2 linked regions of the Daphnia pulex genome follow. The protein of the gene in region 1 binds, or shares a complex with, the protein of each later gene. Links are inferred from orthologs where the notes say so. Each region holds a gene or a part of one and is shown on either strand. Other genes may lie near its edges.

Region 1 (4,340 bases):
TATGTTTTCCCTTTCAAAAAAATTTTCCCGATTGTTATTTGACACATTCCGAACAACCAAAAACACCGAGAAGATTTATTACTAAAACGAAAGGCGGATGAAAATATTAAATATCTTCTTCATCTCATCTTCCATGTTCCTGCACTGCTTCTAGTTGAAGATTCCGTTAACAGCCAGTGATTGCAGAGCAGCTACAGACGCCTGGAAGCCCGCGTTATAATCGCAAGCTACTTCGTTCGTAACGAAATTGTGTCTGTCATCTACGTAATGGTCATTTTGGTTATCTGGGCCACCAATTAGAGCTCCATAGAGGATCTGGGGATTAGGATTGGGTGAATCAAAGGCATCCCAATCGCAAACGGCGGGCCTATTCGGACATGAACTGCAAAAAGACGAAAAATTAGAAATGTGTATAATATTTCTGGATATCTATTGTATGAACAAGAAGCTAAAAACACGAACCTGGACGCATGATGTGGCTTCAGTGGTGGATTGTGCCCGAAACCCACGACAAAACTACGGCCTGTATCTCCAAGTGCATAATGAATCTGCTGTTGCGCCAGTTGGCGATACGCCAATGGATTGATGTTCAGATCGGCAGCCTACGGAATAAGTGAATAATATATTAATATATTAGTTTAACGTATTTTTAATCACCAGGCGTAAAATTGTGAATATAATTTTTTTTTTAAATACTTGAAGACAAATGAAAGCGATATTTGATGCGGCGCCTAAAGATCCCCACTTGGTAACAAATAGGAGCCCCTTTGGCGTCTTCGGTTGTTCAACTTTGGAATCACAGAAAGTTTTCGCTGCGTTTCTGTAGAGGTTCTCATTTGTCAGTTTGGCCAACAGAACCTATATGAATTAAATGGCATTAACGGAACAATAATTAAACAAATATAACTGATTTACCTGTACTCCGGCAGTTTTCGTATCCCATGAAAATTCCGATGGATTATCGGAGAGGTTGAAATCGGTGTAAAATGCCTTAGCATCGTCGAGGTAAGCGTTATCGTTAGTAGCTCGGTATAACCAACTAGCGCTCCAAGCCAGTTCGTCACCGAAACCACTTGACCTACAGGCAATTGTGATATTATACCGGATACACATCAAACGCAACAATTTTATTAAATTTAAAGCTTTTACGAATAAAAATCTGCTACTTGTGGGATGGACTCGCTGTATATTCCTCGATGTCGTTTAGCAAAATCGTACAATTGCTTTGCATGTGTCAAGCAAAGAGCTGAGTAAGTGCTGTCGACTGTTTTAAAAACTATTGAAGTTGCGGCAAGTGCGGCAGCTGTTTCACCGGCCAAGTCAGACCCTATCGTGCGCAATGTTGTGTTATTTCTTTGAACGACAATATAATTTAAAAACAAATTACCAGGTTTTGAGGTAGATATAAAAAAAGCCTAAAGCGATAGAAATGTAGTTTTCAGTCGATGAAATAAATGAGTTTAATAATGGGTCAGGGCTTTATACCGGTCGTTTCATGGTCATTTCTTCGGGACGTCCCCAGTAATCGTGATCGAGATCGCCATCGCCCACTTGCCCATAAAATTTGTTAGTTTGCACATGGGCCTTGATAAAGTAATCTGTCGCCCACTTGACCATATTTCGAGCTGTTGTTAATTTCCCTGTATTATTTAAATTAATCCAGTAAGTTTAGTGATCTGATTCAACGAGAAATTGGTTTAAATTTTTAAAACCTGCGGAAGAATATCCAAGCGGATAATCAATTATCGACCAAGCCACTATCGTTATAGAACTGGCTAAAGGAAAACCGAGTTTCAAGTGATCTCCAGCTAAATAAATATGGTAAAGAATTTCAAATACTTTGATGGAATAAAATAGAATACAAATAATAGTATAAATTACCATCGTAATAGCCTCCAGTGAGATCTTCTCCGTCTTGTCCACGATCGTTGAGCGCCGAGTCTGAACGATACGGAATGGGGTTATCGTTTACTGGCAAGCGCCCAGAGCGCTGGGCATAGTAGAAGAGCAATGATTTGGTGATTACTTCACGGTAATTGTATTTAGTCGGCCAGGCATCCACTAAAAGGTTGTTCTCCTAGAAATTGCTTCATTTAGTACAACTTTTTCCATTTTATGCCAAAGAATTAAAATTTATTACTTCTTCTATTATCGGTTGTCTAGCCTCTGTTTTAGTGTCTTGGAAGGACATAATAAAAACAAAATTTAACCAAAAATTCTCTATTATTACGATTAATAATTTAGTTACTTACCAATTAAACAGACGTTGTCTCCGTTAAAAAGTACGCTTGTAATAATGGGTGTGGTGCTGGAACTAAAGAAAGCATTAAAACCGACACTCGTCAGTGTAGCCCCAGCGCTCTGAACTCCGTTAGAACTGAGGTTTCTCAGCTGATATTCCACTTCATTAATCTTAGACTCTGTAGCGTCCCAAGCCTTTAAAAATAAAAATATTCAAAAATGCTATCTATGATGTAACAGGAGCGTGTCATACCTTTAACCATGGAACGGCCGATGAAAATTTCAGGTCAATTTCCCATGAAGTGATTGGAGTCGTAATTGAAATATTAAGCGAGGCAGTCAAGCCTCCCGGCCAAGATGAGCTAATTGTGACGACATTATCGCACGGTCCTCCTATTTATTATTTTGATTGGTGTATTTTTCAACTCTATAATCATGTTAAATATGAGGAACCACACGGAAGAATATTTACCGGAAGCTAGATGCATGAAAAGAAGAATAACGATGAAGCCGGATAAAGACAACATTCTCGGTAGTAAGTTTGCTGGATTCTCTGTCAGCATCGTTCGTCCCGCTCGCCTTTTTATACTTTACATTCGGTCAAAGCATACACGGCACAGACTCAACTCTTTTACGTTATTGCATATTACTTCACAATAATTAAAAAATAACGAAAATACAGTTGCGTAACAAGAATACCATCACCATATTAAAACCATTTTAGAGGAAAAGAATTACTTGAGCAACGCACTGGTATTAGGAAATACAGGACCCATTCGATGGAATGCATACTCACACTACCAGTTTCAAGTAGATTTTATAATATGGATGACGCACAAAATTCTTTTGTTTAGACATTTTTAAAAATTGTCTTATTTTTTTCCCGATGGAACTATAGCCTTGATAACTACGACTTCTTTTGCACGAGGAATTTCAGCGAAATCTCTTTACGGGTTTCTTCGCGGAAAACGTAGTTACGCTTGTTGCATTTTTCGATTTCTATACATCAGTTTATCACCCCCTGTGCGGATTTCAGATGTTCTTGTTTGAAACCAATCAACTTCGACGCTAGATTAATGACTAGCCTATTGTGATGTTTGGGAACTTGGAAATCAATTAGGTGTGGAAATCAATTTATCAACATCTTCTATTGAATTCAGCAGTTGCATAATTCAGGTTTCAGATTGAATGAAACAACACGCGAGCTACCACCTTTACCTTGAAAAGGACATCGAACTCAAACGTATTCCAGACTTTCCTTATACTCTTTCAGATTAATAGACGATTCTTCGTGACATGCGCATCGGTTGAAAAGTTACCAATAGTTTGAGAAATGTATCACCAAATTTTATTTAACTTTTCAAGAACACACAAATGCAGGCGTTTTTTAACCTTTAGTAATAAATCCCATTTCCAAGAAAACCAACAAGATCAGCAGTACTGTAGCAGATAACCATGCAGAATTAAGAGTAAAATATACTTTCTAAAATGTAGGTATATAATATAGTTGTGTAACAAATTCCTGTCTTATCTTGTAAATTTGTATTCTAGTTGAAAACACCTTGGACAGCCAATGATTGCAAAGCAGCTACAGATCCTTGGAAGCCGGCGTTATAATCGCAAGCTACTTCGTTGGTAACGTAATTGCTCCGATCATCCGTGTAATTGTCGTTGCTATCTGGACCACCAACTAGACCTCCATAAAGCACCTGGGGATTGGGTGCAGTTGAGGAATAAGTGCTCCAATCACAAACAGCTGGTCTATTCGGACATGAACTACATAAAAAAAAATAAAAACATTAAAAAATAATAATGCTATCATATTTATAAGCACAATGTTTTATTCAAACCTGGACGCATGATGAGGTTTCAACGGCGGATTAACTCCAAAACCCACGACAAAACTACGGCCTGTATCTCCAAGCGCATAATGAATTTGTTGTTGCGCCAGTTTGCGATACGCCAATGGATTGATGTTGAGGTCAGCCGCCTTTTGAATCGGTGTAAGATTTAAGACTCAAACTCATATGATTATTTTTTTGTACCTGCAGACAGACGAAGGCAATATTCGCTGCATGACGCAATGATCCCCATGTGCT
Region 2 (2,621 bases), on another chromosome or scaffold:
TGAAGGCATTCACTAAGAGTAGTTCAATTTCACACTTATACCTTTAAAGGAAGATAAAACCGTTTCAGACACACCTCAAAGGCAACAAAAATATACAGTGGTGCACACGGAGTTCAATAAGTACAAGTTCGTTGTTGGACGGCCACCGGCTGTAAACACCTGTTATCCTCTTCACTTTATGGTACTTTCATGGGGATCAGCACATTCATAAGTAAAAAGTTTTGATGTCTTCACTTAGGGGTATATGACACATTGTTCTAACCGAGCTATTGAAACGGTTACATTCATTTAATCTGACGGGGCGAAACAAGAAACAGGCAGGAAACAGACTGCCGCCATAGTGTCGAGCACCTAGTGGCTTAAGTTTAAACTAAATGGACATGTCACTCTATCTCGAGTTCTTTTTGGGAAGTATTCGTTACCTGCTAATAACTACGTACGGTATACGTAAAATATAAAATAATTGAAATAAATTTTCATGGTAAGTTAAATCACTGTTCGGAAACCTAACCGTAAGTAATATAATGTAATTGTTGTAACGATTGTTGTACGATGTGTTTACTTGATGGTCAATTTATGAGACAAACAATTTATGAAAATGGGGATTCAAAAGTGTCATCATTTATTAGTTTTTAATCCAGTGTCATTTAATTGAACAACACAGTTAATAGCGATATTTGGTAGAATAATCTTTCGGTGAAACAACCAAACCTCGACCTTTTCTGGCTCCACGATAGACTGTTTCCACAATGTCAATCATTTCTTGTTTATCTTCTATTGCCCAGTTGATTTTATTGTTGTTACCAGTGCCTAAATCTATCATAATGTGTTTGTTACGGAAGAAAAACATGTTTGTGCAAGGATCATACAACTCGTACCTATATAGAAAAACAGTGAAAATCATTATTGGGATTCATTCATACAATGTAAATATGAAATTACATCTTATTGAAGTCAGGAACTTGGGTGATATCCACTAAATAGATGACAGCAAAGTTCTTGACTTTCTCTGCAATTTGATAAAGCACTTCATCCATTTTCATGCAAGTTGGGTCCCAATCATGACCAAAACGAATAACCTGTAGTAAAGCATGTTTAAATTGATAGTAATATTAACTAGAGAAAGTTTGATTTACCACTAAACGGTCCTCTTCTGAAAGAATTGCTTGATCTACTTGCCAACCATTAACAAGATGCTGTAACATGTAAGACATATTGTTTGATTGATAAAGGTCGTGAAAAAAGAAAAAGCTGAACAGTGCTTAGAAATAGATCTCGCTTCACGTTTTCAAACCTTTCCTTTCAGAAACCCGAAAAAGGTAAATAATGCGTCTGTCAACTTCACGAGTAACACGACATCTGTGTGTGAAATTTTCATCCACTTTCTTTACAAATTCATTCCCAACTCCCAAGGAATATAAACATATTTAACAGTATAAAAATGTGTATAGTTAACTATAAAATATTTAAAGTTTTACTAATAAAACATTTTAAAAGTAAAATAAAATTTATTTCTAATAAGGGATTATTCTTAAGATCTGGCAAGTGGCAATACTTTCGAATTCCCCCCCTGGCCCCCTTCCTCTTATCATTTGTTTTCAATTTTTCGTTCAGACTTCATGGCACGGGGTCGCCTTCAGAAACCCGAAAAACCAGTTGTGCTTTTACGTAAAATCAAATCTCTTTTTACATAACCTGTTGAAAACCGACTATGCTTTCAATCTAAACGAATTAATAACTCAGCCATTCCTTCAAGATAGCCAATAGTCTCAACACCGGCCATGATCACAATAAGCATTGTTATTACCATCTTTATTTTGTTGAGCATGAGTTCCATTCTTGGTATTCTTGTGTTTGTTGTTGATACTAAGTGGATACCAAAGATTATAATTGATCTCTACTCTTATGGGAAAAGTTGTGAAGGTAAGGTATTTGGCAGTTCAATCAGAACTATCCTTATTCCGAAGAGGTATTAAAGTTACTACTGCTGATTCCTTTACAATTAAAATTAAAAATTTATTTTAATCTGCTAAATTAAGTTGGTTTACACACTTTTATGTGTTTGGAGTATTCTATACATTCCTGGTTCTCATAACAATGATGTGGAAGATTGTGTTGAAGAATCAATTATCTACGCTTGTAACCTCATACATTAGTTTTGTATCACCATACACTCACAATCCTTTAGGTAACTGAACAATTTTAACAAAATTTTATTCATTCTGTATTGTTAAAATATTGTCTATTTATAAAGCTAGCCCTGAGTTATCACTATTAGCTGCTGTACTTTTTTTCCTGCAAACATCCAGGAGGTTGTATGAATGTTTGTGTGTCACTGTTTTTGCTGATTCAAAAATGAACCTTGGCCATTATTTAGTTGGCTATCTACATTATTGGGGGTGTGCCACTGTCATACTTTCATACTCAGCTGACTATTCCAGTACAAATGGTAGGTGTTACCAACACAATATTTTCCCATTACATGATAATCTTTTCTTTAATTTATTGTTGAACAATCTAGATTTTGTATGGATACCAAATAGCAATGATATCCCTTTACAACCCATTTTTGGCATAATTTTGTTTACTCTTGCCTACTATCATCAATATATTGCACATGT

What was found. The genes of interacting proteins can lie anywhere in the genome.
Region 2: pre-mRNA-processing factor 6-like (region 1) and thioredoxin-like protein 4A share a complex: the UniProt entries of both Homo sapiens proteins name them as parts of the U4/U6-U5 tri-snRNP complex. The link is inferred for Daphnia pulex from reciprocal best matches to the Homo sapiens genes PRPF6 and TXNL4A.

The regions. Positions count from the first base shown.
Region 1 is NC_060027.1:3,689,236-3,693,575, forward strand, and holds the start of pre-mRNA-processing factor 6-like, read right to left. Parts: upstream 2,817-4,340; 5' UTR 2,805-2,816; coding exon 2,714-2,804; intron 2,635-2,713; coding exon 2,495-2,634; intron 2,437-2,494; coding exon 2,253-2,436; intron 2,179-2,252; coding exon 2,141-2,178; intron 2,078-2,140; coding exon 1,882-2,077; intron 1,809-1,881; coding exon 1,713-1,808; intron 1,641-1,712; coding exon 1,486-1,640; intron 1,416-1,485; coding exon 1,388-1,415; intron 1,328-1,387; coding exon 1,150-1,327; intron 1,079-1,149; coding exon 916-1,078; intron 859-915; coding exon 697-858; intron 603-696; coding exon 463-602; intron 383-462; coding exon 232-382; intron 1-231. Other genes in the region: endoglucanase 12-like, read right to left, coding at 3,789-4,017, 4,092-4,231, 4,287-4,340. UniProt on the Homo sapiens protein: Involved in pre-mRNA splicing as component of the U4/U6-U5 tri-snRNP complex, one of the building blocks of the spliceosome.
Region 2 is NC_060018.1:1,947,593-1,950,213, reverse strand, and holds thioredoxin-like protein 4A, read right to left. Parts: upstream 1,347-2,621; 5' UTR 1,215-1,346; coding exon 1,137-1,214; intron 1,080-1,136; coding exon 943-1,079; intron 879-942; coding exon 665-878; 3' UTR 600-664; downstream 1-599. Other genes in the region: tyrosine-protein kinase CSK-like, read right to left, coding at 1-9; polyprenol reductase-like, read left to right, coding at 1,782-1,969, 2,040-2,188, 2,255-2,449, 2,522-2,621. UniProt on the Homo sapiens protein: Plays a role in pre-mRNA splicing as component of the U5 snRNP and U4/U6-U5 tri-snRNP complexes that are involved in spliceosome assembly, and as component of the precatalytic spliceosome (spliceosome B complex).